Linked DNA regions of Coturnix japonica. The protein of the gene in region 1 purifies or fractionates together with the protein of each later gene. This does not show direct contact. Links are inferred from orthologs where the notes say so. Each region holds a gene or a part of one and is shown in the gene's direction. Other genes may lie near its edges.

Region 1 (8,100 bases):
CACCTCTGCTAGAGAGAGAAATGAAGAGGAAAGAGAAATCAAGAGCAAAGCCATGTCAGCCTTGGTCGTGTTAGGAGGACGGGGCTTTTTTGGAGGTAGCTGGGCAGAGGAGCTCTCTGCTTGGTTATTTTTATTCTGTCAGGCTGCCTCTGAGTGTTGGGTCAGTTGGTGCCATAACTTTACTTAAATAATGGAGGACTTTTATATGAACATGAGAAGGCCAACACATTCTCAACCATTTTTTATCCAGTTTGAATTATATTTTGATCACTTGAGGTGTTTTGCATGAGAGACTCTCACTTGCCCATGTGGCTGTTTCCTGACCTGCCATAAATGAAAAGAATTAAGAATATCCTGAGCTAAGACAGATTTGAGATACAATTCTCCAGTTATTTGAATCAAAAGGCAGTATCGATTATTTAATTACATAGAAAAGATGCAGGTGCTGAGCATTTACTACAGATTAATGACTGCCCCAGAGCAGTTAATGGTTCTTCTCACTGCCATCAACACAAGCTGCTTATTAATCCCTGGAAAATGGCTTGCATAACAATCATAACCTGCTGTTAAAAGTTTATAAATAGATAAAAGTGTCACATGGATTTACGAGTGCTGGGGCTGAATGGGATCTGCACAGCATTTCTAGTGAATGAATGCCATGTGCATGAGCTCATCTGATTGCCTGAATTATCACAAAATCCCAAGTTGCTCTTTTGGATTTGAAAATGGCACGTAAGAAAGTGCCAAGTGGCTGGAGTCCTATCTACTGACTGGGAAATAATTACTTTGCTGCATAATAGAGGCACCTTCAGCCTAACGGCAGCACTCTGCCCATTTTATCATACAGCCTGAAGTGCATTCAGGGGAAGCTGTGTGACTGTGCTGTTTCATTGTCTGCTTTGCTTCTAACAGGGAAGCAGTGAGCGCACATAGACACACACACAGAGTTGGTTTGGGTTCCACCAGGGCCCAGCAACTGGATCAGCAGATGTAGGGGTCTTGGAGGCTGTGTTATTATTATTATTATTATTAGGATCTGTGTTATTCAGCCAAAAGACTTCAAAGGAGCCTTCTGCACACAGGTCTGCCATCACACAAAGGGAATGTGATACATGTTCCTTACTGTAGGGAAGCTGCTTCAGCAGAGCCTTGGACTTGATAATCTCTAGAGGTAGGATCCAATCCCTACAGTTCTGTGAGATTAGTTCTCCTGCTTTAAGAAAACACGTTGCCCCATCACAGTCTGGTACAGCACTGCTGGATCTCCCTGCAGCAACCTCCATCTCCCTGTACCCTCAGCAGTCCCCAGCCCCAGACAGCTGTCCCACCTCCCAGTCTGTCACTGCCAGACATGCTGGGGCTGGCCATTGCATCTGAGCAGTGTCTGACAAAAGTGATATAAATCTGTCATCGTCTGAACCCAAGTGGGCTGACTGGAGGAGGACAAGGGTCTATGGGAGCACCTGGTCTGTGACAGGAATTAGGGAGGCGGCTTCCTTGTATTCAGCTCCTCTGCAAAACCTGAGATAAGAGGAAAGCTGAGAAGTCACTGTCTCCACCAGGAGCAGGATGGATGACATGAGGGGCCTTCCCGAGTCACATCATCCAAGTCTGATGGTGTTGTCTCTTCATTTGAGACTAGATTTTCTTCCCTGTACCGTGATATACTTTCATCCTCACATTGCATGTGGGCTGATCTCACCTGGAGATAAAATAAGGAAAATATCTTGTCTGCATCTTAATATTCCTGTACGCAAAATAGCTCAGTAGTCACGTTCATGGGTTTCAGTCTGGTTTTGAAAGGAATTGGAGACCCTGTGGATGGAAGTGGGCATAGATGGGTCAATGATTGGACTGGGTGATATTAGTAGTTTTTTTCCAACCTTAATGCTTCTACAATTCCATGAGCAGGAGTAGAGGGGTTGGATCTATGGTTGGGCTTGATGGTCTTTGAGGTCTTTTCCAACCTTCACGATTCTCTGGTTCTATGATTCTATGAGGGCGGTGTAGTGAATGCCAAGTGCTCTATCAACACAGGATCATAAACTCCCTGTTTAGTGCTCATGGTTGCAGGGGAGCCAGTTGCAATATCAGAGCCTTTCTGCCATGCACGTATGCTCTTTCCAAACAGTTTTGTTGCACTTAATTATGGCATAATTAAAGCAGAACAACAGCGCCATTTCCTTGGAGACAGACGTCCCTGGAGCGTGCCTGCAATGTGGAGAAGATCCAGGTGCATCTCACCAGACACTTCTGAGCCGCACTCTGTCCGCTCTCATTGCCAGGGCAGCGCAGGGGGATCCATTGCTCCTCGGGCACCGAGGCTCGCTGGGGCTGCTCCTTTTGTCGCGGCGGTCAGTGCCACCCAGCGGGTAAAGGCAGCAGTGCAGCACAATGGAAGGTCTTTGGGTGTCAATACTGAGTTTTGGATATTTTACACATGTGTATAGTGGATACTAGGGAGAGCTGTTGGAGGGGGTCCAGAGGAGGGCAGCGAAGATGATCAAAGGGCTGGAGCATCTCTTATGAAGAAATGTTGTGGGAGTTGGGCTTGTTCAGCCTGAAGAAAAGGCTCCGGGGAGACCTCATTGCAGATTGCCAGTATTTGAAGGGAGCTTAAAAGCTGAAGGAGGACCGAATTTTTACAGTTTGATAGTGATAGGAAAAGGAGAATAGCTTGAAACTAAAAGAGGGAAAAATGAATGTGGATATTACAAGGAATTAATTGCAAGGACAGAACTAGAGGGAATGGTTTTAAGCTGCGCTGTTGGAATTGGATGACCTTTATGGTCACTTCCAACTTAAGGCATTCAGTGATTCTATGATGATCACACAGAATCACAGAATAACCCGGGTTGGAAGGGACCTCAAGGATCATGTAGTTCCAACCCCCCTGCCTGGCAGGGCCACCAAACATACACCTTTACTAGATCAGGTTGCCCAGGGCCCTGATAATTAAACAACTCACAGGGCGGGCTTTTATGAGCAGGTCTGATGATAAACCCGCCTCCATAAGCCTGGCACCGCTCTCTAGGCTGCCCCAGGGGCTCGCAAACCCCCATAGGCCTCAGCCTTGGTCTCGCCCTGTCAGCCTGTAGGACTCCAGCTCCCGGCATGCCGCGATGCCCCGGTTCCGCTTCCGGTGTCGGGCGGAAGTTGTGTGAGCACAGTAAGCATGGCGGCTCCTGAGGCGGAGGGGGAGAAAGCGCGGCGTCCCGGCAAGAAGAAAGCGGCCAAAGGTGGGTGCGGGGCCTCGGGGCTGCTGCCCGCCGGGATTATCCTTCTCTTGTGCTGAGGGAAAGGCAGTAACTTCCGTAAGGAAAGCAAATGGGATCCTGGGCTCCATCAGGAGAGGGGTGGTCAGCAGGGATAGGGAGGTGATTGTCCCTCTCTACTCTGCTCTTGTGAGGCCCCATCTGTTGTACTGTGTCCAGGTGTGGAGCCCTCAGTACAAAAAAGACATGGAGATTTTGGAAAGGGTCCAGAGGAGGGACAGGAAGATGATCAGGGGGCTGGAGCACCTCCCCTATGAGGACAGGCTGAGGGAGTTGGGTTTGTTCAGCCTTGAGAAGAGAAGGTTGCGGGGTGACCTCATTGCAGCCTTTCAATACCTGAAGGGAACTTACTCCCAGGAGGGGAGTAAACTCTTCGAAAGGGCTGATAATAGCAGGACTAGGGGAAATGGTTTTAAGTTAAAAGAGGGAAGATTTAGGTTGGATGTTAGGGGGAAGTTCTTCACTAGGAGAGTGGTTAGGTCCTGGAACAGGCTGCCCAGGGAGGTTGTGGATGCCCCGTCCTTGGAGGTGTTCAAGACCAGGTTGGACGGGGCCCTGGGCAACCTGATCTAGTAAAGGTGTATGTTTGGTGGCCCTGCCAGGCAGGGGGGTTGGAACTACATGATCCTTGAGGTCCCTTCCAACCTGGGTCATTCTGTGATTCTGTAAGGAGAGATGCAGAATGACTCCAACAGAGCGTTGAACGCAGCACCTGCTGTGTGCCTGCGTTCTGTTATCTCTAGTTCTGTATTTAGATGGGGAGCAGATGGAATAGCTCAGATGGAGAAACGAACTGTCGTCTTTTAATCCATAGCAGTCGATGAGTCCGAACTGCTCACTGTGCCGGATGGATGGAAGGAACCAGCGTTTACCAGGGAGGACAATCCCAGAGGGCTGCTGGAGGAAAGCAGCTTTGCAACGTTATTCCCCAAGTACAGAGAAGCCTATTTGAAGGAGTGCTGGCCGCTTGTCCAGAAGGCCCTGAGTGAGCATGTATGAGTTCTTACTGTTGTGATGTGCTGCTCTGTTATTTGGGACATACAGGTGTTACTTTGGCATAAAAGCTTGCTCCAGTAACAGGTGTTGGAAAGAGTCCAGCGGAGGGCCACTAAGATGGTGAAGGGCCTGGAGCATCTCCCCTATGAGGAGAGACTTATGGAACTGGGTCTGTTTAGCCTTGAAAAAAGAAGGCTGAGAGGGGACTTGATCCAGGTTTATAAATACCTGAGGTGTGGGAGCCATAGTGGTGAGGCTGGTCTCTTTTCAGTAGTGTGTGGGGACAGGACTAGGGGTAATGGGATGAAAGTACAGCATAGGAAGTTCCGCACAAATGTGCACAAGAACTTCTTTACAGTGAGGATGACGGAGCACTGGAACAGGCTGCCCTGGGAGGTGGTGGAATCTCCTTCTCTGGAGATATTCAAGACCCACCTGGACACCTACCTGTGTGACGTGGTGTAGGGATCCTGCTTTGGCAGGGGGGTTGGACTCGATGATCTCTAGAGGTCCCTTCCAACCCCTACAGTTCTGTGATTCTGTGATTCTTTCTGTGTTGTTGTCCACAATCTGCTAACTTGAAAGGAGATGAGGAGATTTCATCTTAACCTCATGCTACCAGAAATGTAATCTTAGATTTCTAATTAAAGATTGCTTTGCTGTTTATTTGCACACATTGCAGTATGTGAATGCAACGCTGGATCTAATTGAAGGAAGCATGACGGTCACGACTACTAAGAAGACTTTTGATCCGTATGCGATCATCAGGGCTAGAGATTTAATAAAACTTCTGGCAAGAAGCGTTCCATTTGAACAGGTTTGTAGCCAATAATGTTGTAATGCTTATAAAGTTGTATGCTTTCAAAATATGGGTTTTTCAGGTAGTAGTGAAGTGCTGGAACAGGTCACCCAGGGAGGTATGTATCTACTCATCCCAGGAGATTCTTAAGGTCAGGCTGGATGGGGCTCTGAGCAACTTGATCTGCCTGTAGGTGTCTCTGTTCATTGCAAAGAACTGGACTAGATGACCTTTGAAGGTCCCTCCAATTCAAGTGATTCTATAATTATATGAAAATATATATTTAAAACAAACGTATCTGCAACTGAAATGAGTCTTTTGGCTCTTGTGAATGTTACTTTTGGATTCAGATGTTAATACCTGCTGCTTTTATCTTCAGGCAGTTCGTATTCTTCAGGACGATGTTGCGTGTGACATCATTAAAATCGGTTCCCTAGTGAGGAACAGAGAAAGTTTTGTAAAAAGAAGAGGACGACTTCTTGGGCCCAAAGGATCTACTCTGAAGGTATTCCTCATAAGTGTATTACCATAAAAAATCTTAAACACAAGGTCTGCGTGTCAGACCTTCAGCTGACACTATCTTTATTCATTTTTGTTGTTCTAGGCCCTGGAGCTGTTAACCAACTGTTATATTATGGTTCAAGGCAACACTGTTTCAGCTCTTGGACCTTTCAGTGGGCTAAAAGAGGTAAGGGAAGGCAGATGAGCAGTTTATGTAGCTCACTTTTGTGCCTAGCTGTGGCGTGGAGTACAGGCGGAGTCTGGTAGCCTCAAGAGTTACTCCACTGTCCTTTCAGTAACATGTTATTAAGCTACTTTTATGTGAATTCCTATAGGCTTAGCTCCTGAATTTTGTTAGCTGCTGAGATCTTTCCGCCTTGAAACTAAAAGTATTTTTTGTGGTTTTTTTTTTAAGGTAAGGCTTAGTAAAGATATCAAAGGGGCACCTTCATGTATTTCTGAATAGTGTGTCTAGTCCTGCCCCTTGGGCTTTTATTTCTGTAGCTTACAGTGCAGAATTTCTGTAGTTTCAGTTAAGAGGTTTGAGTGAAAACATCGCAGTGTTAATGTGATATAGCATGGATTAACATCTAGTATATTCTTAGTAATTCTAGAGGGAATAATAGATGTCAAAAGCTAAAACACAACATAACATCCATGATGGCATGAAAGTAGTGGTTGTTGTGATGCTGCAGTGTATCAGAAGCATGACAGTATAGCTAACGATATTTTTGAAGCACTGTGCCTTCTAATTGGCTTTGTAGTTTTTTTAGCCTATCTGCTCTTAGTTTTGGGGTGAGAAATGTTCTGATTTTGAAGAAACTTAGGGACCTTGATATTTTAATTGATTAGAGTATGAAGTACCTGCTGAGTGTTCCATTCATTTTCTTTTATTAAATACAGGTTAGGAAGGTTGTTCTGGACACAATGAAGAATATACATCCCATATATAACATTAAGGTTGGTGTGCACCTTTGAAAGCATTAAGTCTTTGTACACAGCTTTATGTTAATAATTCTATGTTTCAGTGTGTGCTATACGAATATATATAAATGTATATGTGTAAACTGTGCTATAAGAACCTTTGATAAAACTTTTAGTTTGGAGCTCTTAGATACTACTGCAATACTATTGTTTTATTAACTTCTTTGTGATGTTCTAAAACTACCAAAGACTTTGATGATCAAACGTGAATTATCAAAAGATCCTGAACTGAGGACACAGAATTGGGAAAGATTTTTGCCTAAGTTCAAGAAGAAGAACTTGAAAAAACGCAAGGAGCCAAAGAAGAAAAATGTTAAGAAGGAGTACACACCATTCCCACCTCCACAGCCAGAAAGCCAGGTCAGCTGAAACTTTATTTGGTTGTGCAGGAGTATATGGTGGTTTTAAATCCTGCTCTCGTTAAGATGAAGTTAACGGGCCCTTTCTGTCATGTTTTTGTTTCCTGATATTATATATCTTGCTTGTAATGTGTAATTGTCTAAAGCTTCTTGGTAATTTTCTTGTATAGATTGATAAAGAATTGGCAAGTGGTGAATACTTCTTGAAAGAAAGCCAGAAGAAACGAAAGCGAGTGGAAGAAATAAAGGTAAATTTGTTACAACCAGTTAAAAAGTGCTTCATTTCTGACTTTGGTTTTTTTCCCTTTTGCCCGGCTCTGTTGGTACTTCATACTTGTCATTGTTAACTGTAGGCAAAGCAAGCTGATGCAGTCAAGAAAAGACAAGAAGAAAGAAATAAAGCTTTTATCCCACCAAAGGAAAAGCCAGCTGTGAAAGCAAAGAAAGGTAAGTTGTTTTTTTTTCCCCCATTCTAAACCCTACTAGTTAATTCTCCACATAATTACTTTGTGTAAGATGTAGCCATTTGAATTCCGTTGAAAGATTTGTGTATCATGCTAGATTAAGTAAAAATGATTGGAATAGTTTATAAAATCATTAGTGAACATAAAATGAATCCTAACTAATGCTACGGGATGCAGTTTAATGTGGATACACATGAAGTAATCTCACAGGCTGTGGAAAAATAAGAGAAGTAAACCTTGTGTCTCTCTGTGCTCGTGTTTTTACTGTGTAGCTTCTACTGAGAAAAAAATTGATATTGAAGCCATCAAGGAGAAAGTAAAGAACGCAAAGAAGAAGAAATTAGGAGCGCTTCCTATGGAAGAAGTCAAGTTAAAAATGGCAGCAGATGAAAAGAAGAAAAAAAGGAAGAAGTAATTCACTGCTCATTCTGCTCAATTTTCTCCTACAATAATGAATGTTCTCACACTTGGAAAAACCAAGACTTGGAGGAAACTTCTTGCTGTCAATGTAGTGTGGATGAGAAATTACTAGGCAGAAAGATGGTTCTCTTTTCACAAGCCCATTTTAACAAATGGACCTGGAGCAGCTATGCAGAATTGTCAAAGTTGGTGAACAAAATCTGCTCTCTCATACCTTTTGAGTACATTTGGATAACACCTGTCTGCTTCGAGGACATTTCATATTAGAAACATTTAGAAGTTTGATGCAGAATGTGAAAGGG
Region 2 (7,418 bases), on another chromosome or scaffold:
TCTTTATCTTAATTTTGCTTTTTGCAGGGATATTTTAGCAGCTGCCAAAACAGGCAGTGGCAAAACACTTGCATTTCTCATTCCTGCAGTAGAGCTCATCTACAAGTTAAAATTCATGCCTAGAAACGGTAAGGATTTCCTTCATTTTGTAGTGGCCCAGATATTAAGGGATGTGGCTGTGAAAGGGCTGGAGAAACTGTAACTTAATGCCGGTCAATTGATGTATGTTTTAGGGACGGGTGTTATTATTCTTTCACCTACTCGAGAGCTTGCCATGCAAACCTATGGAGTTCTTAAAGAACTTATGAATCATCACGTTCACACCTATGGTCTGATCATGGGGGGCAGTAACAGATCAGCAGAAGCTCAGAAACTTGGAAATGGAATCAACATCATTGTAGCAACACCAGGAAGGCTTCTGGATCATATGCAGGTAGATGAAAATAACGATAACCTCTTACTTAATAAGAGGTAATAAGACCTTTGTCCTCATCTAACTCTCAAATCTGTTAATCTTCTAGAACACTCCAGGTTTCATGTACAAGAACTTACAGTGTTTGGTGATTGACGAGGCGGATCGAATCTTAGAGGTTGGATTTGAGGAAGAAATGAAACAGATCATAAAACTTCTACCAAGTAAGGAGAGAAAAAACTGTCTTTTCTGGAAATTACTTTACTAACATTATGTAGTCTGTATGATTGAATTACTGTAAGAGAAGTCATTAATTTTGATAGTTTTATAATGTGCCTTGGAGTGGCTCTTAACTGTGTCCATTTTTTCTGATAGCTGGCATGTATTATTTAGCAACATTTATCTGAAGGACACCTCATCTTTTCCTGTTTATTTCCTGCTATTCATTATTTCCGAATTAGTCTTAAGGAAATAATAGGAAAAAGATGTATTAGCTTGCAGTTGGATTTTTTTAGTCTCCCCATAGCAATACCTTAATGATTAACATTCTTCTTTTACTTGTGTATGTTATGGATTGTCTAAGAAAAGCTTAGCAAAGCTGAAGTGCATTAAGATTTTGGAGATGGTGGCAGCCTAAGTAAATATCATGCAATATAGTACACAGTGTAGTGATACTTGCCTTTGTTTATCAGTAGAAGTATATTTTAAATTAATAGAAAAAAGGTGAAGAATTGTTCCGTGGGAGTTTGCAGCTAAAGGGGTTAAGGATTTGCTATTTGAATTCTCGTTTAAATGAATGAAGCATTCTTATAACCAACTATTTTCAGAGCGCAGACAGACGATGCTGTTTTCTGCTACACAAACCAGGAAGGTGGAAGATCTAGCCAAGATTTCTCTGAAGAAAGAACCACTGTATGTAGGAGTTGATGATAACAAGGAGACAGCAACAGTAGATGGCCTTGAACAGGTAAAACATAAATGTTACTAGAAGGGGTATAGTCTGAGAACAAACCAGCAGGCCCTATGCTCTTTTAAATGGGTTGTATAACTGTGCATCCCATGAAGTGTTTAACATCCTAATGGGCAAAAGTTAACAGTTGCCTAAGGGGTTTCTTCACTGCTATCTAAAAGGTTATGTAAAAAAATAATGAAGTAATGATACAGTTAGTTACACGTTCCAACTACTGCCTGTATTGTATACATAAGCACTGTGTTACTGACTAGAGAACACTTGAGATTTTGTTTTTCCTGCTTCAGATAATGGCTAAATGGAACTGCGCTTTAGTTTCTGGGTTTGTGCAGTTGATACAATGATAATTGTTTTAAAATACTAATAGGTAGGAGTTACCTTTATAGAGTAAACTAGTAGCAAGAATTCAATGATTCCAATTAAATTCTTTCCTAGTTTGTAGAGTTAGTTTTTGCTGTTGTCAGTGCTGAAGGATTCATATAATAAAGTGAGAACCAGGCAGTAAATCAGATAGCTTTGTTCTGTATGGCTGGGAAACTGACTTTTGCCAAATAATCCCCTGTGTATTCTGTGCTATTTATGCAGAGTGTGTTCTGTGCTGTTATGTTTAACAGTGTTTAAATAATTTCTAGGGCTACGTAGTGTGTCCATCTGAAAAAAGATTCCTTCTGCTCTTCACGTTCCTGAAGAAAAACCGGAAGAAGAAACTAATGGTATTTTTTTCTTCATGTATGTCAGTGAAGTACCACTATGAATTACTCAACTACATTGATTTGCCTGTTTTGGCCATTCACGTAAGTATTTCATATGTATTTTTAATTAACCTGGTAATGCCTGTGTCTGAACATCAGGCTTTTATGCAGTCCCTCTGATAATAACTCTTACATAACTTGTGGTTGTAATACCTTGAATGTACAGTGTAACTTCTGAGAGGTACATGTTTACTGTGATAGCACTGCTTCTTCAGTGTGAAACGGTTCTGCTTGGTCTGTGCAAATCCATAAAGTAGAGAGATGCCCTGAAGTATTTTATATCTCTTGGCAGTGATATAATCTGTGAAATGAGAAATTGCATTGGAGCTTATAAACTGGCAGGTTTTTTTTAGTGGACATCCTTAACGTATGTGTTCTTCTGTTTTTTTTCTTGTTTTGTGTGATGTGTTTTTTGGTTTTAGGGCAAGCAGAAACAAACAAAACGTACTACGACGTTCTTCCAGTTCTGTAATGCAGAATCTGGAATCCTATTGTGCACTGATGTAGCTGCCAGGGGACTAGATATTCCTGAGGTGGACTGGATTGTCCAGTACGACCCTCCAGATGATCCAAAAGTAAGTTATGGAAATAAAAAATACCTTCAGATTGTAGCTGTGAGTGTCGCTGCAGAGAGAACCTGAATCTTCTGCTCAACAGAGGTCAGAATTCAGCTGTGTTCACATCTAGCAGCTTATTTCATACGTTGCTCTCCACCTGATCCTGGGAAGTGCTGCAGCTAGCAGAGACATAAAACATAACTTTATGGTACCAAAGTAATTAGAAATCTAATCAGCTAAACAAAACAATACTTGTTAGAAGCATGAATTTACCTTCAGTAGGCAAGGTAAGGTGCTTCTAGTCAGGTACTTCTGTCCCGACTAGTTATGCACTTTGCTTCATCAGCGCTTGGTTTGCCTCATCCATACCTCAGTGCTTAGAAAGTCTTTAAATGTAACTGACGATGCTGATATATGTTAATGTTAAATGCTTTTTCAGTAAACTGTATTACTGCCAGTGTGAAAGACTGTCTGGACTTAACTGTTCATTTCTCTCTGTAAAAGGAGTATATACACCGTGTTGGTAGAACTGCCAGAGGTATAAATGGTAGAGGACACGCTCTGCTCATTTTACGTCCGGAAGAACTGGGCTTTCTCCGTTACCTGAAACAAGCCAGGGTAAACTTACATGTAGAATTCCTTTGGTTTGTTGGCATTTACTGTGCAGTCACCATTTTAAAGGCAAAAACCTCAATGATTAACAATACAGTTTAATTTCTGAACATAAATCATCATGTGACTGAAAGTATTTGACTGAATGTCTAACTCTGTTCTGCTTACCCTTAGACTCAAAGGTGACTGCATGTGTTTTTATTTGCAGCTGTGCAATGTGTATTATTAAATACACGCATATAATTTTCCTATCACCTCTTCATGAAAAGATACCGGAAGCTTGGCCAGTGCAGTTCTTTATTTTTCTATTAAAACAATTGCATTGTTTTCAATTCCAAAGGAAGGGTGGCCTTCTTCCAAATGTAACAGTTCTAATAAGAGAGAACTGCCCATAGATTCATAGTGGCTTTTCTTATGGGGTTGTTTACAGACATCTGTAATTAAAACAATGAAAAGGTCATAAGGAGCATCTTTATTACCCTAATTTCAAGGAGATACAATGCTGGCCTCTTTATGCAGAGGCAATTTCAGCAAATTTGTTTCTGATAAGGGTTACTAATATTGTCATCATTGTTTTAAGTAAAAGATGTCAAAAACCTAAAAATATGTAAGGTATACTTTTAATTTAAAGCATGGCCTTGAACTTTAGATTCATTGACAGGTAAAGCTGTGTTATATATTAAAAAATAGTCTTTGGTTTCTATCACATCTGTTGTTATTCATCTTACATGTTACTGTTTGTACAGTAGAAATAATCTAGATTATGTATTTTATCATTCGTTCTTCTAAGGTACCACTCAGTGAGTTTGAATTTTCCTGGTCGAAGATTTCAGATATTCAGGCTCAGGTAGGAAATGAAGAATTTTTAATGTCCAGTACTACATTGCTGCTATTGCACCAAATGCATTTGCTCATAAGGATTGCTTTTTTCACAGTACTTTGAGAAATCATAGCGGTGTAAATATGCTTTCAACTTTTGAATAGAATATTGTCTAGCATAGCAAACGCGGTGTTTCCAGTAGCTTTTATAGAATGGTTATGCGTGCTTAGATTAATTCTGAAGATCTAAGCTTTTACAAGAGAATTTGCTCAGCCTTCAGATACAGGAAAAAAAAAATCAGTACCAACACCTAGAAATGCCAGTATATGTTCCAAGTATAGTTTTATTAAGCTGATATTAATGAAGCCTGGCATCAGCCAAGCCTGGTGTGTGTTTCTATCCTACAAAAATAACAATGGAGGACAGAGTACAAGAGAATAACATGGATAGTTCTGTAGGTGTGAATTTTTGTTTAGTTCTGTGAAGCGTTTTCTTAAGAGCTGTGTGAAGTTTCTTTGTAATAACTTGAATTTGACATAGCGAATGCCAGAAGCATTGAGGACAGTCCTTACAGAGCCTCCGTTGATAAGAATGGTTAGGAAGTATTAATGCCTAATGTAACTTAATATTAGTTTGCCAAACTAATGTATGGTAGCAGTCAAATGCGACATTCATAGCCCTCAACAAATAAAATACTTGTCTACACTACTGCATCTTCATTTTTGTCTTAAAAATAATGTGTGTGTTTTATGGTGAATTTCCAGTATTTTAGATAGACCTATAAGCAAAATTATATGGGATGGTACAGATTAGATGTCTGACTTAACAGTGTATTGTCATTGTCCATTAATTCTCATTACACATAACTGTGGCTGTAGTTGCATACTCCTCTCTGATCTTCTTTAAGACAACCTAATGTAATGTTTTTAAAGTTTCTCATTGCTGAGGCTTTGTACTACAATTCAGCTTCAGGCTTTTAGTGCCTGGTTGCAAAAGCACTGTAGATGTGTGTACTGTGCTGTCATAGTACAGTCTTATTTAAGTGAGTAGTGAATGTCACTGCAGTGCACAGAGTAAATAATTGGCTTGCATGTAATTTATTGTTACAGCCATAATTCCATAATGTAATGTCTGTTTTTCCTTTCTCATCAGCTGGAGAAACTGATCGAAAAGAACTACTTCCTTCACAAATCAGCCCAGGAAGCATACAAAGCTTACATTAGAGCTTATGACTCTCATTCTCTGAAGCAGATCTATAACGTGGGGAACCTGGATCTTAACAAAGTCAGCCTCTCCTTTGGCTTTAGAGTCCCTCCATACGTTGACCTCAGTATCCTTTTACTGCTGTGTTTCAAAGCTGAGTTCCTGCTTTAGAAATGTTAAATGGAACTTAGGGAAGTAGATATGCTGTTTGAAATTCTGCTTTTTATTGTTGCGTTTTATTTCGTATTGCTATTAATTTATTTTATTATTTATTATTATTATTATTATTATTACATTTATTATTAATAATTAACATGCATCATGTCCAAATATCAGAGAAAATGTTAAATGGCAGCTTTTCCAGTTTTAATAATTGCTTAAAAATATCTGCTTTAATGTAGATATGGACTTCAGTTACTACAGCCTTGTAGGTACTGGAATATTGCATGCATGTTCTAGAGTCTGGTACTGAAATACAGGGGCATGGACCCCTCTTGTCAAAGGTGAAAATGGAAGGAGAGAAGTTGAAGCAGTGTTTCTTCAGTTGAATTAGTTGAACAGCTGGAAGAATAAAAGCATTCAGTAGAATGACAGGTCCACCCCTAACACAGTTCGGTGTGTTTTGTGTAATACTTAATTCTCTTCTTAATAATGGTGGTAAGACCCAATAAGCAGCACTTCAATTAAGGCTTTTGTTATGCTCCTTAACCCATAAAATTCCAGATGTGAACAGCAACCAAGGCAGAAGACTACAGAAAAGAGGTGGAGGTGGAGGATTTGGTTACCAGAAACCAAAGAGTGTCCACAAAGCTAAAATCTTCAAGCACATTAGCAAGAAATCAGACAATCGGCAGTTTTCTCGTTAATTGTGCATTCATTACAGTGGCTTTTTGTTGTGCTGTATGCTGCCCTGATCGAAACTGTCTTGGCAGTTACTTCCATTTTAAACTTCTCTGCTGAACCTTTTAGGGAGAGAAAAGTTTTTGTTTCAGAGCTTCTTAATGTTTCATTTCAGGAAGACTCTTTGGAAAAGAGAATACAGAGAGATAGCCAGACTTCTTGTAAAGAAGAAGATGGATGTATGTAATTGTTTCAACTCAGTGATTTATTAAAGAAAAAATATTTTCATCTTTTTATAGGAAAACTTATTTTGCATATACCCTTTTTGTATGCACCCCTGGAAGCTGTCAGACTAGACAGAATATAGGGACAGATTCCAATGTGAGGTGACTTGCACAGCAAGAGACTTCACTATGCTAAGAAATGCAGTTCATAGGTGTCTGAAAACATTCTTAGTGTAAAAAATATAAAAGGATTTTTATTCAAGGATCATTGTGGGGTGTCTTAGTGATAGAGAATTCATTATCCAGCAGACATGGTAAAGAATACGTTCTTTTCCACAAGAATCGTTGTATGTTGTTGAATCTTATTATGACTGAGCTTGTAGTTATTTTAATTCATGGCATCTGGATGGCAGATACAGTGTCTAAGATTAAAGAAGAAAAAAACCCAGCTTCTTATACCAATCTGAGTCATTCTTAGAATTACTTCTTTAATATTATGATAAAACAGTAACATTCCAGTGAATTACTTGGTTTTCCTTTGTGGTCTGTTTAAATCTGTCTGTTAATGTCTGGTCTATTCTCTTTTGAACAGGCAAAGACAATTAAGAAAAGCACGTTGCATTACTTGAAGGACTTGGCCCAGATGCGGTGTTGGGAAGGGTTTGGGGCTCATTTGTTAGTTTACATTATTATCAGGTCTCTACCCTTGTAGAAGTAGATTTATGAAGAAGATTTATGAGGCTGTGGCTGAGGCTGGGTGTGTTATTTAAAAAATGTACAGTCACTGATGCAAGGAAGGACTACACTGTCTCAGTCTGGGCCTTTAGGAATCAGAGCCCCACCTGATTGCAGTAGAACAGGTTTTATTCCTTTATTCTGTATCATCTGGAAGGCAAGCCAGGACTACTTTGAATACAAAGAAAATTTGTACTTATTCCAGTATGAAGTGAAACCTTACAGCTTTTGAAGTAGTGTATAAGATTTAAGCTTGTGTGCATTGGAGTGTTGTAGAAGCAAGTGGACAAGTG
Region 3 (7,418 bases), on another chromosome or scaffold:
AACCAAATATTAAATGGTTCGGTGAGTTTTCTTTCAGGCTCTCCATTCAACAAGCTTGGATTGGTTGGTATTTTTTATTGCAGTTGAAGTATTGATATTTTCATGGTGTAATCTGAGTCTCTGAAGCAGTTAAAGGTGATGAATGGTGTAGATGTAGCCTTTATTCTTACACATAGGGAATACTCGTGTGGTCAAGCAGGCATCCCTGCAGAAGTTTCAAGAAGAAATGGAAACTGTCATGAAAGATCCATACAGAGTGGTCATGAAACAAAGCAAGTTACCTATGTCTCTTTTCCACGATCGGATTAAACCTCACGTGAGTGTCATTCATCTGCATTGGGTTAAGGCTGTTTTATGTGTTATATGTGGGAAACTGGCTACGTTTGGAGAAGCATTGGAGGAGGAATTGGGGCAAATATCTTGGAATGGGATATTTTTGAGGACACAATGCTGTGGATGTGATACAGAGGTTATGAAAGCAGTCTGGTTTGTGATGTCTATGGTATGGAATTCACATTTTCTCACAGGAAATCTACTTGAAAGCACTCTAGGTTAGAATATGGCATTTAAAATGACTATATATAAACTTGTCACCTTCTGTCCTAATGCTTCTAATGGCTGATGTGACAGTGCTGAGGAAGCATTGTTCTGTTAGCGTGTTTTCTCTCATGCACTGAATCTGCCTGAACTCAAATATGTGCTTTTTATCTTGAATCAGAAGTTCTGCGTGCTGCTTTCGTTTCAAGGCAAATTGAGTTTCAAGTGCCTAAAGCTTTAGTTATTACCAGTCTGCTTTCATAACCCCTGAAGTATTATTATTTTGGATTATCGTTAGATATTTTTCACATGGAAAGTTGCCACGTTTGTGTCATAAAAATGTTACCTAAATGAAGGGAAAAGTTACTGTAAACTAAAATAAGTGTTACAAAAACAAATGATTTCTTTCAGCTATGAACTGCTGCCGTTCCAAGAAAAGTTGGCATTCATTACAGGCTTCAAATTTTACAGTTTTGACTGTAATTATCCCTGACAAAAATCTGTGAATTTGGCGAGATTTGTGCACTTGTTAGAAAAATAAGGAATGATCAAAGATAGCAGCTGAATTTTCATCATTGCAGCCTTAATTACTTTGGACATCATTTATGCAGGAAGAAGTGAAGCATGGTTCTTTGGCAAGTGCAGCCTGGTTTGGTGCTTGTTAAATATCCGTGTTTGTGCTTCTCGAAATTAAGCTGCAGAACTCAAACACTGTTAGGAAAGTGCCTATGACTCTTGTTAGAGGTTACAGAGTTGCATTGCATTGAGATCTTGTAGGCTGCATGTCGTGAGAGATGGAATATTAGAGATTGTGGGTGTGTTTTCTTATTTTAACAACCCATCTTTCCATAGACCTCCAGAGTTCACATTCTTGACACAGAAACATTTGAAACAACATTTGGCCCCAAAGCACAGAGGAAAAGGCCAAACCTTGCTGCAAGTGATGTACAGTCCCTGCTGGAGAATGCTGAAGCCTCATCAGAATGTTACGATCAGGGCAAAGACAGAGACCTGGTCGTTGAAGACACTGGAGTAAGGTAGATAGGAAGGAGAAATTATTCTCTATTTACATTTCTTATACATCTTCATTCATTTAAAAAAGCGCATCTAGTTCCTCTATCGATGCTGTTACTGCCTGATTGACGAGTATGCAATGAGAAATAAGCTGAATTTGGCTGGATTTTATTTTAAGGCTGTTTCATCCCAATATATTTAACTGAACTCCTGCTTCCATGGGACCCTTCTGTCTTCATTGCTAATTCATTTCCTGTTGCATATCTGAAAATTTGTGAACTCAGATATTGGGTTAAATAAGGGACTGGGTCTAATCTCCTCTTTTCTCTGTAAATGGCTAACTGGCTTTAGAGAAGACAGCACTACAGCCCTGTTATTGTGGTTGTTGATGTCTCTGGTGATCCACTTCCAGGGATGAAGCACAAGAGGAAATATTTAAGAAAGGACAGTCAAAAAGAATTTGGGGTGAGCTGTACAAGGTAAGCAACACTTATAATTTGCAGCAGGTATTTGTCTGTATTTTAGCCTTTGTGAAGTCCGGTGCTGCAGCACAGCGTTGGAAATATTGTGTGACTCTGAAAAGCTCTCAGAACTGTACAGTTATGTCTGGCCATGTTAGGGAAGCTTTGATCTGCTGAATTTTCTGTAGAGCAAAGGTGTCTGTTCAGAGACATCCTTAGTGTATAATTCTCTTCCTTGTTTTCCTGTCGGCCTAACTGAACTGACTGATGTAAATCCATACACTCTTTTCTAGCATTGGACTGGTGTTGAACCAGACCATCAACTAGAACAGAAAGAAACAGTTGTAGAGTAGCAGGGAGATTCATTTTCAAGCTTCTAAGCTTGATTCTTGAGCTCTTGTCTCAGTGGAACATACATCCTTAAAATATATGATCCAAAGATGAGCTGGTAAAATGAACAATTCCTGGGGCTTTAGCACAAATAAACCAGTCAGATGCCCTTAAGTTTCTTTAGACTGAGGATGCATCGTGTTAATAAGATCTTCTTTGGGGTTCTCTGACCTTCCCCATGAGTTGCCACTGGTGCTAAAGGAATGAAGCCTGAGATTGAGTTAGATTTGTAAGTGCAGTTTGTTTGCTCTCAGTGACTGTTGTTAAACTGCTTGACTTGTCCCAAATTTCTGAATGTAGCTTAGAACTTTCTCATTTAGTCCTAGAAGTGCTGGGAATCATAGAGCAAAACAGATTTCAATAAGATTCTGCCAAAAATGCAGGAAATAGCTGTGAAACAAATTCTCTTGGCTTGAAGCAAGTCATGAAATGACAGCTCCCTGCTGTAGATTCTTAGTGGACTAACAGCAGGTTCCTACTTGGTTGTGTGTTTCATACTGATCCAGCAAACGCTCTTTATGTCCCGATCCTTTATAGAATGGATGAAGAACATTCTTTTTGCCCACTAAGGCAAATAACTTTACTGCTTGGTTGTAGTGTTTCCCTTCCCAAATGCTCCTAGAAGCTGCTCACAGCTCTCCAGCCTAAATTTGGAGGGGAGCAGGGAAGAGAGAGTAGAGATTGTTACAGGAAACTAACAGTCATTCCTAAAGGATGTAAGGTTTTATCCTATAACGATAAGAATTTAGAAGATTACTGTTTTATATTTTGGAAATGTGTATTATTTTCCTTCTGTGCGATATATGTGTATGTATGATATATATATATGTATTTCTTTTTCCAGGTGATAGACTCATCAGATGTTGTTGTTCAAGTTCTTGATGCCAGAGATCCTATGGGTACTCGCTCCCCTCATGTGGAATCTTATCTGAAAAAAGAGAAACACTGGAAGCATCTCATTTTTGTCCTGAACAAATGTGATCTTGTTCCTACCTGGGCTACTGTAAGCACAGCTTTGCCTCTTGTCCCTTGAATGTATTTTGTTCCTTTCATAGCCTCTAATTCTGTTGCCAGTCCTTGTTCTAGTCTCTTAAGGGCATAATGTAACTGGGTCAGTGGGAACTCTCTGCTTGCTTGCTGTAAAAGTAACAATTACCATTTAAATCAGTCCAAGTTTGGCTCAGTTGAGCAACAGTCACCAGCCACAAATTCTCTACTTCCTCTGTCTGGATTTAACTGTTCAGCTGATGTCTCCAGAGTATGCTAAATGTTAGTACGTTTAAGGTCCATGTCCACCACAGCTGGTCTGTTTTACATTGTTAAACTAATTAGCAATGAAGGCATTTAGGGGGAAATCATCTTTTTATGAAAACAATAGGCAGTGCTTTTAGCTATTGGGTTGATAAAATGCATCTAAGCTTCTTACGTGGCAACTTTTATAGATAGTTGTGTTATGTGACTCAAGTGAAGATGGTTTTTCTCACAATGAAATTGTTTCACTGCCTTTGCAGCACAGCATTCATAACTGAGCAGTGTTTTTCCTCTTTAGAAGCGCTGGGTTGCTGTCCTTTCCCAGGAATACCCAACACTTGCTTTTCACGCCAGCCTCACAAACCCTTTTGGCAAAGGTGCTTTCATACAGCTTTTAAGGCAGTTTGGAAAGGTAAAGAACAACTGTGGGGCTTTATATTGTTTGGGGTTGGGGTTAGTATGGGATTTATCTGTTTTAATGTGTGGGGTACAGTGCACTTTCACGTGGCCATTCTGTCAGCAAACAAGCTTCATTCTGTGGAAATGGAAAATACTTCCCCTGGACAGAGTATTTGAAGCAGCCTTTGCTTTTTTATACAACCAGAAGCTCCTAAAACTGCAATAGTAACTGTGTCATTTTCTATGAGGTATTAAAATGATGTGTCATTTCTTAACAGTTACACTCTGATAAGAAACAGATCAGTGTGGGTTTTATTGGATACCCAAACGTTGGCAAAAGCTCAGTGATCAACACGTTGCGGTCTAAGAAGGTCTGCAGTGTGGCTCCCATTGCAGGTGAAACTAAGGTAGGAAGGCGCTGCTCTTTTAAAGGTTAAAAAATAATATTATAAATATGCCACTGTGTTGTCAGAGGCAGAAAATATATAAAATGAGCTCATTAATGTTTCCAGGTCACTGAAGTTACACAAGCTGCATCACCCTGAGTCTGAGGGGTGGCTGATGAGCCAGGCGTTGTTCTGGAGTGCTGCTGCTCAAAAGCATTTCTGAGTTTCTATGTCTGTTGTGCAGTGCTGTGTGATCTGAACACTCAGCTGCACTGACTCAGTGTGTGCTAATGCCAAGTTTATGACTTCCGTATATTAAACCTGTGCATTTAAAAGCAGAACTAACAGTTGTGCATGAGAGGAGGTAACGTGGGGATCACTGATATCTTTCAGGTGTGGCAATACATTACTTTGATGAGGAGGATTTTTCTCATTGACTGCCCAGGGGTGGTGTATCCATCTGGAGACTCAGAAACAGACATTGTTCTGAAGGGAGTGGTATGTATCTGTGCTGTGTGCAGGGAAAATTCTTGCTGTTTTCACCATGGTGAGTTCAAAGAAGTGTCTGCACGCTTTCCAAAGGGTTGATACTTTACCATTCATTTTTAGGTTCAAGTTGAAAAGATTAAGAGCCCTGAAGATCACATTAGTGCGGTGCTGGAAAGAGCCAAGCCAGAGTACATCAGAAAGACATACAAAATTGATTTCTGGAAAGATACAGAAGATTTCCTTGAGAAGCTTGCTGCTAGGACTGGAAAACTACTAAAGGTTTGAGAGCATCCTGTATTTACAGGTTGGAAGAGCATGTGGGTTTGTTTCTGCACTGGAAGTGCGAAATACGTTTCAGTTGCAAAGAGATAATATAAAGATGGTATGCCCTGCAAACAAGGACAGAAACTGTTACTGAATTCTTTCAGGGTGGTGAGCCTGATCTGCAAACTGTCAGCAAGATGGTTCTCAATGACTGGCAGAGGGGCAGAATTCCGTTCTTTGTGAAGCCACCAAATGCAGAAGCAGCTGCTGAGGTAAGGATGTGAGGCTCGTGCCTCTTCTTGCATATTATTCCATTCTTCTAATGATACTCACTGATGCTTTTGCCAGAGCACCATGTAAATTGGGCTTTTCCTGACATGATTCAGAGCACCGGATAGCAAAGAACTCTTCCACAGAGATGTCTGAACTGTTTTGCAGTCATCCAACTAGTAGAAATGTCAGTAATTACCACGTTGTTAGTTATCTTAGGCTTCGTCCAAGGGGATGTTTGGACAGGCTGTGGATAATATATCCATTACGCCCTTTTTCCTAGCCACCCGCATCGGAAGGAGCAATGACATCAAGCCAATTTAATAATGAGAAGGAAATTTCTGAGTCTGTTGCATCAAATGTGGAGCCAACGGAAGAGAAGAAGAATGCAGACACTGAAATGAAGCAGCTCATGGCAAATGTTCGGCAAAACTTTGGGAGGATTAATGTAGCACCTGAGTTCTCAGAAGAAGACTTAATTCCTGTAGATGTGCCAGGCTTTGATGAAACAGACAGTGATGCTCCTGAAGAGGAGGAACAGGAAGAAGAGGAAGAAGAAAATGAGCAACATCAAGATTCAGTAGAGGAAGAATCAGAGCCAACTGTACAGAGTGCCAGGGAGAGCTCGAAGGAAGTTCTTCAGGCTTTGGAGGAGAAGATTGCAAAGTGCAAGAAATTTCTGGATAAGGCCAAAGCCAAGAGGTTCTCAGCAATAAGGTATCTGAATCTGTTTAGTGACTCGAGTGTTTTCCATTGCGGGGGGGTGGGAAAGAGATGGTGAGTTTCTGTTGTAGTTCCACTGCCTTTATGTCCATTGCTTCTCTACTTTAGCCATGCTTTCTTTTGGCTAAGCAGCAGTTTGTTTTTGAGAGAGTGTTCTAAGAATTTCTATTGGCCATAATAACGGAAGTTTTTCTCACTGTTGGTTCAGGTATGGTTTAGAAACCTGTGGGTAGCAATATTTCTTCCTTGCATCTCCCTGATATTGACCTTTCTTGAGTAATACAGAGGCCAGTGTCCTATCTGTACATGAGTCTCTGTGCATTTACAAGAGCATCCCAGCTCGTATGACAGGCCCAATTTTAGCGGAGCTCATCCACCATGTTTGTGAGGACTAAGACGTCAAGAATAAGTGTTAAATTTTGCCCTTTGTGCAATGCAGAAGTCCAGTAACTCTAGAGACAAGATTACTGGAATATTTCTACCATGCAAAGTCTGCGGCTGTACTGATGACAGGCTGCTGGGACCTATCAGAGATGGATCGCTTCTTAGAGATGGCTGAGTTTTGTATTATGACATTCTTTTGCTGTCTGTTTTATCTTTTGTAGAATCCCTAAGCAGCTGAGTGAAAAAGTGTTTGCAAAATCTGTGCAGAAGGCTGAAGAGACCAAAGAAAAGGAAGAGAAAGGTAAAATGAAATTGGTAGTTCCTGATCTCTGTCTGGAAATCCAATAAGAGAGAGAAAATAGGGGATTTAAGGAAGGGTGTTCATTAGCTCCTCACTGCAAGTTCTTATTTCCCTAAAGCTGCTATATAAACCTCAGCTTAGTGAATCTAAGGGCTGCCTCATGAGCTTGTTATAGTCTTTCTATAGAGCTGTAGAGCCTGTATAGTAAAATGTGATCTCTGCTACTGAGTGAAGATAAAGACAAATGTTGTGCTCTCAGCAGAATGGTGCTGTGGGTGGTTTGCTGTCTCAGCAACATCCATTCCACACGGTATAGTATTACACAGCAGGGGGTGGAAGCATTTTATGACATTATAAAAGCACAGAGCTACTGCAGGCTATAGGTTTTACTGTGGTCACTTTTTTGAGGGTCTGTGTCTTCAGTTTCCAAAGCAAGTTTGATTAAAGGCAGAATAATGTGGGAGAACCCTATAGTGACAAGACTGACATTTTTCTAGGCTTATGTAAGGCTTGAAGCAATCTGCTTATCATGAGTGGTTTTCTGGTAAG
Region 4 (7,418 bases), on another chromosome or scaffold:
CGAGGCTGCAGGTAAATGTTCTTGTCCTGCTTAAGAGCTCTGTTTTCTACTGGAAACAGATCTTCATCTACCCCATGTCTTTATCTCACTACCTGCAATTCTGTTTTAAGGCACACAGGCAGGCGTTTGAAAGGATGTGGCTCACTTTTCTGAAGCACCAGGTGAGTGGTACTTCTGCTGCTGATCCACGTTGCTTTCCAGTTGCTAATCCTGAGAGGCTGCAGCCATCCTTTATGTGATCCTCCTGGTAGGACCCCTGGTAGGTTCTTCTCATTGTGATGGTCTGACTGTATTGCTTTGTTCTTCACAGCTTCCCAGTGGCCTTTACAAAAAAGTTCTTGTTATTCTGCATGACTCCATCCTGCCTCACATGAACGAGCCCACTCTCATGATCGACTTCTTGACAGCGGCCTATGGAGTAGGTGAGTGAAGATGGGCTTTTAGCCTTTGTGTCTACTTACAGACACTGTTGGTTTTGTGCTACTTTCAGGAAGGTTTAATAATGAAATAGGTTGTAGCTGATCATTTTATCTATCTATTGTATTGATAGATGCCTGCTTTCTTACAGGTGGAGCAATTAGTCTTCTAGCCTTAAATGGATTATTTATTCTGATTCATCAGCATAATCTGTAAGTAAAAGGAGCACACTGTGTAAAGGGACACGAGTGTCTGCATCTACATCTTCACATAAACAGAACTCAAAAGAATTCTCCACATCTTCAGGCTTTGGCCATTAGGAAGCCAAGCTCTGCCCAAGCAGCTCAGCTGTTTGGATGCTGAGCTCTTCTGATAGTTTGACCTCTTTTTCAGCTGAGCTAAGCCTCAATACTTTCTTCTCCAGACAGTGGTTGCTCAGCTCTTGGAAATCAATTTCCATTGATCTGATGGTGTAGCAGAGCTGTAGTCTTTGGATCCTGTGCCATTTGCAGTCAGTGGATGTGTTTTCACATCTCCAGAACAGCTGGGCACTGCACCAGCCAGAAGTTCACCTTACAGCTTTATTTCAAGTGGTGGCTGTGGGGGCAAGCCAAAGGCAGCTCATCAGGCACTCACAACACAGCAGTGATCTGGGGTGGTTTATGAAGAACTCTTAGAAGCATATAGACATTATTCGGTCATTATTCAGACATTATAAACACAGTGTAGTCCTGTTGGATGTCACTAATCAGCAAAGGATGTTGTCTTTTTCCTTCCTGCCTTCTCAATAGGGAATACCCTGACTTTTACAAAAAGCTCTACAGCCTCCTGGACCCTTCCATTTACCACGTGAAGTACCGAGCCCGCTTCTTCCATTTGGCTGATCTGTTTTTGTCTTCATCGTAAGTAGAACCTTCAGTATATATGTACCTTTCAGTATATACGTACATACATTTTGCTGCTACTTTTCAGTTGGCCAGAGTCCATTCTTCAACAGTCTCCCGTGTCTGGATTTAATGTAGTCATTGTGCTCGCTGAATTAAGTTTGTTTTCTTATTGAGAAAACTGAATCTAAGAGTGTTACTGCAGTGCTGTAATTCTTCATGTGATGTCTCTGAAGATGCGCCACGCATCTGTCTGGTTTCACAGACTAAAACTGCAGTTCATTATCTGAGTTTGATCGGCAAATCATTATGGATGTATTTTGATCTGTATTCCAGTTTGGCTGAAAGTGATGATTTTTCTCTCCATCTTTATGAATATGGAAAAGGAACATTTGCAGGCTTTTTATAGACGCAGTATCATAAATCTGTTGATAAATTGATGACCTTTTTGCAGACGTGTAATATTGAAATATAAAGCATTTGACGCTCTGTCTTGATGCTGTCAATTCATCATGCCCAGGGAATAAACTAGATATGCAGCTGGTCATAGAGTTGCCATAATGTGTTGTAAAATAAACTAAGAGTAATGCTCAGCGCGTGATATTTAATATCACCCCCCTGGTGCTCATAGTGTTCTCTGGAGAGAGTAACAAGACATGGCAGATGGTTGTACCTTGGGGTGGTTTGGCTGAGCCTTGCAGGTGTAGGGAGCCCTGGGGCTGTGGGATGAGTGGCTGGAAATTGTCATCTCATCCCAGCTCTGCTGACCTGAAGAATGTATCTACACGAGCTGATTGCTGTTAAAAACCTGCATTTCTACCATAAAAGAGAACTATTCTGCACATTTACGTGACAGCAGCTTTATGTTCCCATTACAAGCTGCACCGCTTGCTCTAGTCCTGCAAGTATTACATAAATTTAACACCATGGCACGTGTATTAATTAAACCCACAGAACTACATTAGAAAAATATAATTAAGGTTGCCTGGCCGAATACTCAGAAGTTTATAAAATGACTGAATAAAGACAGCAGTGTGAATGGCCGTGTACAAGAGCTGTGCTTGGCTACAGCAAGTGTCTGGAGTAGTGCCCTGTGTCTGGGTTCAATCACAAACTGATGTGAGATTATTCATGCACTGAATGGAAATGCCCCAAAATTTGTTCCAGACAGCACACAAGACCCCACGTAACTGCTTGAAATCACAATTCATAGCTGTACGATTCCTTTTCATTTCATAGTCCAAAAAGCTGAGGAATCCCACTGGTCCTTAGCCTGACATGCTGGTTGGGTTGATGTCTGCTGGTTCACTTGCTGGAACTCTTGACATTCTGGTGTCTTCTTCCTTCCCCACAGTCACTTGCCAGCGTACCTGGTGGCAGCATTCATAAAGCGCCTGTCCCGGCTGGCCCTCACTGCTCCTCCCGAGGCTCTGCTCATGGTCATTCCTTTCATCTGTAATCTCTTTCGGAGGCACCCGGCCTGCAAAGTGCTGATGCACAGACCTAATGGACCACAAGGTAAGAGGGAAAGGCGGGGACTTCTGTGTTACACCTTTAGGCAGCATGAAGAGCAGGATCCCTGGAGAGATCCTGGCCCCAGATCCTGAGTGTGTTGGTTGCTCTGGGTCCCTGGGTTCCCTCTGGTGTCATGGACACTGCAGGAGGTCTTAGCTCTGTGTCTCTTCCCTTAGATTTGTCAGAAGATCCGTATATTATGGAGCAGGAGGAGCCATCTGAGAGCAGGGCTTTGGAGAGCTCGCTCTGGGAGCTTCAGGTATGTCATCTAACAAGGCACATCTGTGTATGGTAGGTACAGCCTTCTCCCACCCTTGCTGCTTACATGACACAACTTGGCAGCCAGCACTATCACTTCCATGAACCTTCTGACAGACACGTCTTGCAAATGAGATGAATTTCTGGCTCTTCACATCATTTTCTATCCTTAGTGTAAGAGGCAGAGGATTTTAAACACATGAGAACTAGTGCCTGCTAATTAGCACGAGTCTTGTGAGTGCACATCTGGCCATGCAGCTGGAAAGTGGGCTGTTAAGAGCTGAAAGAGTAAATAGTGGCAAATGTATGGGGCTTTCTACTTGCTTTGGAGGGGAGAGAAGAGCATGCTGAGCATTGATGGAACTTGAGTACAGATGGGTCATCCTGTAGAAATGACTTCTAAAATGATGAAGATTGCAGTGTTCACTCTTAACATGGAACATTCATAGGATGGTGTATGAAAGCTGAAATTAGTTGAGTTGCTCCTGGTGACCTTAGTGGCAGGATTATCACTTCCCATTTAAACACCGCAAGGATTTTGTGCAAGGTGGGTGTTGCAGGAGAGAGCGGGAGCTCAGATGCAGCAGTGGGGCTCTGGGAGGTGGCAGAGTTGAGGTGTGTGCTGCAGTAGCTACAGCCAGTGGAGGAATCCATCTGTCTTGGGCTGAATGTGAACCTGGTGGAAGGGTGCTTTAATTATGTCTTAAATGTGGCTAATGCTTCAAGACATACAGATTTTACTGTATGTCTTTAAGCTGTGTAATAACGCAGTACAGCAGACTTGCCTCCTTTGCCAGAATTAATGTTCGTAACCAAGGGGTTTGTTAGGATACCTGTGCATAAAGCCAGGTGGATGTGTGTTACCGTGTGCTCATTAAACTTTCTCCTCTTTATCTTGCAGTCTCTACAAAACCATTATTACCCAGATGTGGCCCAGGCAGCTGCTATCCTCAATCAGTCGCTGTCTGAAATAGAGGATGACATATCAGGGCTCTTGGAGCTCTCAGCTTCTGAGGTAGTATTGCTGTGCTTTTGGGAATGACTATAACAAGAGGAAGGGAGACTGCTTCCTGACTGCAACAGCACTGTCCTGTTGATCAGCCTTGCTGCTGGGGAAGGAGCTAGGTGGACTTTTGGTTGCTTACAGCCAAGGGGAAAATGTCTGTTAAATGGTGGAGCATTTGGCAGCGGTAGCGGCAGGACTGTATTGCATTTAAAAGGTTTACTGTATATTTTATTGTGTTAGGGTGAGTGTTGGTATCAGCCACAGTAAGGGGATTGTACTGAATTTTGTCAATATTTTCTCTTTTTGTAGCTTTTTGATAAAGAAATAAAGAAAACATCTGCTAAAGTGCCGCTGGAGTTCGTGCAAGCGCGAGGTTTGTTTGGGAAGAAAAACGATATCCTTGCAGAGCACTTTGCTTTAGATTGATGCCATCTCTTAAAAACACATCTGCACAGCTGACGGACCTTCAGGACCTGCACCAAACTCACATGTTTTGCTGGACAATTCTGCCTTTGAAATATCTCTTTAAGAGGTGAAAACTGGACTGCCTTCTGAAGGAGCAGCCCTCTTCAGGGACCTTTTCCAGTATCCACATACAGACTTTTTTTCTTTGTGAATGATGTTTTGGAGGGGTTTTCCCTCACAGTATTGTTTTCTGGATTTGTTCACTGTTGGGATCTTGGCCCTTCTTTCCAAAGCTGCTGGTGCTGGCTGAGATCAATGACTGCACCGACAGACCGCCCTGCTGCCATTCAGAGGGTCTGAGGGGTTGGGTGGTATTGATTCTGTGTTTCAGATGTGTTCATTTCCTATAGCAACCATTGTGTAGTGAGTGACCTCAGTGCATAACTGTAAACATCATTCTTAATTCAAAATACTCATGAGCTTTGGAAATGAGCATAATGGTGGTGAGTGCGTAGGGCGGCCAACTGATGTGCACTGGAAAGTAGTTTAATCCTTGATTTTTTTGCTTCAGAATGATAAGCAGCTTAATGTAATTTTGCTCACAAACTGCAGGCGTTGCAGAAGCTGTGGCCGGTGTGTATGCAGGCGCTAGTTAAGTTTTAACTACCCCACTGATATTGGAATGGCTTTGTTAATTTGGATTTCTCATACGGTTTCAGAGGTCCTGCAGAAATTCCTTCTGATAGTGTTTTCCACATTGTTAAGTGCTGTGCCTTGGCCTGAAGTGAACTCCTTGTTAAGAATGCAGATCAACTCACTCAGGATTCTATTTTCTAATTATTTTCACTGACTTTCTCTGCATCTTTTTTGTTTGGCTGAAATTACTGATGGACAATGCCATTCGTATCTTCCACAGTAGTGATGTTATGGGGGTGTTGGGGTTCTTTTTTAATACATGATATTGAAAATGAGGGAGTTTTCTTGGGTTCGTGTATCTGGAAGAAGGGTTAAGCTCTTTCTCAGAGGAGTTCACAGCTGAAACCCTGGCTGGCCTTTACATAATTCCAAAGGCTTCATCCCCAGTCTCTGATGCTGCACATCCCCAAGCAATGTCCTTAAACTTTCCCTTTAGAAGAGAGAGCTGTAACCCTGTGCCTGTCCTTGGGAAAACATTCCACCTGGTCCTTCAACAAGCTTTTATCTTTAAACTTTCACCCTCTTCCCCTCAATAGGAGGCATTGGGATAAAAAAAAATCAGCAGTTATAAATATTGAAAGTTTCATCTGCACAGAGTGAACAACCCTTATCAGGCTGCACACCCGCTGCTGCTGTGCTCTACAGGTCTCCACGGACTGCAGATTATAGATGCTTTAATCATAGCGTGTATTAACTGGAAGGCCAGACTGAAGTACCAGGCAGAGAGCGCGTAAGTCACTCCTGTTATTATTTGATTGTTATCAGATGTAGGGAGGGAGACGGAGCTGTTGTGTTTTGTTTTTTGTTGCTGTTATTTCAGTGAGCAGAAAGGGTTGTTTTATCTAAACATTGACGTAGGCTGCCTCCCTGGCCTGGCACTGCCTTATTCCCCCACCAGAGGACAGTGATAAGGTCTCCAGTTCGCAGCAGGCTGCCCTTGGTTTGCTTCTCCGAGCTTTCATTCATTTAAAAGCCATTTAAAGTCATTCTAGCCCAAAGGTAGAAGGTAATGCAGCTCGTCAAGAGCATGGTGAGATTTATCGTGTGAGTTTAAGGTCCAGGTGACCGTGGTGTTAGCGTTAATCAGCTTAGATTTTTACTTTTAAGATACTCGTTGATGGATGGAGGGAAGTGACTGTAAACAGATGGAAAAGTGCAAATGCAGCTGGCGATTGGTGCAGACCTGGTCTGAATACAGGGCTGTCTACTCAGGGCAGTCAGTGCTCACTCCTGTCCTCTTCCAGCACAGGGGGACATAGGAAGGCTTGGCTGTAGGCTGGCAGTGGCCTCCTAAGAAATTAGGTCTGCCTGTGAAGTAGTATTTCACACCACGCATTTGGACATCCCTGGTGGGTATTTGGAAGTGTCCTCTTAGCCAAATGGGAGCCCTCCTCTGCTCCATGGACCTCTGGATGGGTTGGAGGGTTAGGGGCTGCTGCAGTGTACAGGGGCTGGACCGTGAGCTGACAAACTGCTTTAGCTTCAAGAGGGCTGGACCCCCAGGCTCACAAGTACTCAGAAAGAAACCCTCTCAATCAGCGTGCTGCTGTTGACAGTGCACTTAGGGAGGATGCGAGTGTCAACTCCATCCCAGCAGAGGTAAACCCTGCAGGATCCCTGCCCTGCTGTGTCCCCGTTCTGTTGATAAACGAACAGAGAAACCCTTATCAAAATGAACAGACTGCAGTCCTGCTAATGTAGCTCCACTTGTGCTGGAGATAATTGATGCTTTAATAACGCTACACATTATCCAGATTGTGGCTGGAGTGCATATGTGAGGAGAGGCATCAATCACAGGTAGTTGTATTTAACTTTTATCAAACGTTTAGGTGGGTGGCAAGGTGTGATCTGTGCTACTCTTGGGGAAGGAGCGTTGGGCTCTGAGATAGCAAGTGAATGAATCATCACCTGCCTTCTGCCTCTATCAGTTTCCTGCAGGTTGGGAGAGTGAGGATTTACATTTCAGTTACTGCAGCAGGACACAGGAGTTGCCATGTGCTGCTGTGCTGGAAACAGACTTGATGATGAAAACTGCAGCTTCCACACGGAAGGCCTTTGGTCTCATGATCTTGAAGTGATGAGGAGCCAGGTCTCTACCTGTTGATGCAGTACGTGACCCACCTGGGCTTGTGGGCAGGCCATGGGATGACTGCTGGTTATGCACCATGGAGCCGCATGGACTGGCTTCCATTAGCTGTGTTTGGCTGGATCCAAGGGCTGCCGTACGCTGATCTTGT

What was found. The genes of interacting proteins can lie anywhere in the genome.
Region 2: the proteins of KRR1 (region 1) and DDX18 purify together in Homo sapiens (affinity purification with mass spectrometry; 3 studies listed by BioGRID and IntAct, with this or other methods). This does not show direct contact. The link is inferred for Coturnix japonica from reciprocal best matches to the Homo sapiens genes KRR1 and DDX18.
Region 3: the proteins of KRR1 (region 1) and GNL2 purify together in Homo sapiens (affinity purification with mass spectrometry; 3 studies listed by BioGRID and IntAct, with this or other methods). This does not show direct contact. The link is inferred for Coturnix japonica from reciprocal best matches to the Homo sapiens genes KRR1 and GNL2.
Region 4: the proteins of KRR1 (region 1) and NOC4L purify together in Homo sapiens (co-immunoprecipitation; 3 studies listed by BioGRID and IntAct, with this or other methods). This does not show direct contact. The link is inferred for Coturnix japonica from reciprocal best matches to the Homo sapiens genes KRR1 and NOC4L.

The regions. Positions count from the first base shown.
Region 1 is NC_029516.1:34,297,934-34,306,033, reverse strand, and holds the start of KRR1 (KRR1 small subunit processome component homolog), read left to right. Parts: upstream 1-3,117; 5' UTR 3,118-3,175; coding exon 3,176-3,239; intron 3,240-4,089; coding exon 4,090-4,268; intron 4,269-4,953; coding exon 4,954-5,088; intron 5,089-5,449; coding exon 5,450-5,575; intron 5,576-5,674; coding exon 5,675-5,758; intron 5,759-6,474; coding exon 6,475-6,531; intron 6,532-6,744; coding exon 6,745-6,915; intron 6,916-7,084; coding exon 7,085-7,162; intron 7,163-7,267; coding exon 7,268-7,361; intron 7,362-7,650; coding exon 7,651-7,793; 3' UTR 7,794-8,100. UniProt on the Homo sapiens protein: Part of the small subunit (SSU) processome, first precursor of the small eukaryotic ribosomal subunit.
Region 2 is NC_029522.1:18,162,225-18,169,642, forward strand, and holds part of DDX18 (ATP-dependent RNA helicase DDX18), read left to right. Parts: intron 1-27; coding exon 28-128; intron 129-233; coding exon 234-433; intron 434-521; coding exon 522-636; intron 637-1,239; coding exon 1,240-1,379; intron 1,380-2,014; coding exon 2,015-2,176; intron 2,177-2,556; coding exon 2,557-2,709; intron 2,710-3,195; coding exon 3,196-3,309; intron 3,310-4,093; coding exon 4,094-4,150; intron 4,151-5,275; coding exon 5,276-5,453; intron 5,454-6,049; coding exon 6,050-6,192; 3' UTR 6,193-7,418. UniProt on the Homo sapiens protein: ATP-dependent RNA helicase that plays a role in the regulation of R-loop homeostasis in both endogenous R-loop-prone regions and at sites of DNA damage.
Region 3 is NC_029538.1:3,325,939-3,333,356, forward strand, and holds part of GNL2 (nucleolar GTP-binding protein 2), read left to right. Parts: coding exon 1-21; intron 22-176; coding exon 177-316; intron 317-1,389; coding exon 1,390-1,574; intron 1,575-1,963; coding exon 1,964-2,030; intron 2,031-3,246; coding exon 3,247-3,405; intron 3,406-3,951; coding exon 3,952-4,065; intron 4,066-4,330; coding exon 4,331-4,459; intron 4,460-4,831; coding exon 4,832-4,936; intron 4,937-5,047; coding exon 5,048-5,206; intron 5,207-5,355; coding exon 5,356-5,463; intron 5,464-5,744; coding exon 5,745-6,178; intron 6,179-6,789; coding exon 6,790-6,869; intron 6,870-7,418. UniProt on the Homo sapiens protein: GTPase that associates with pre-60S ribosomal subunits in the nucleolus and is required for their nuclear export and maturation.
Region 4 is NC_029530.1:2,103,717-2,111,134, reverse strand, and holds part of NOC4L (nucleolar complex protein 4 homolog), read left to right. Parts: coding exon 1-11; intron 12-110; coding exon 111-161; intron 162-310; coding exon 311-422; intron 423-568; coding exon 569-629; intron 630-1,208; coding exon 1,209-1,319; intron 1,320-2,655; coding exon 2,656-2,819; intron 2,820-2,992; coding exon 2,993-3,075; intron 3,076-3,975; coding exon 3,976-4,089; intron 4,090-4,389; coding exon 4,390-4,506; 3' UTR 4,507-7,418.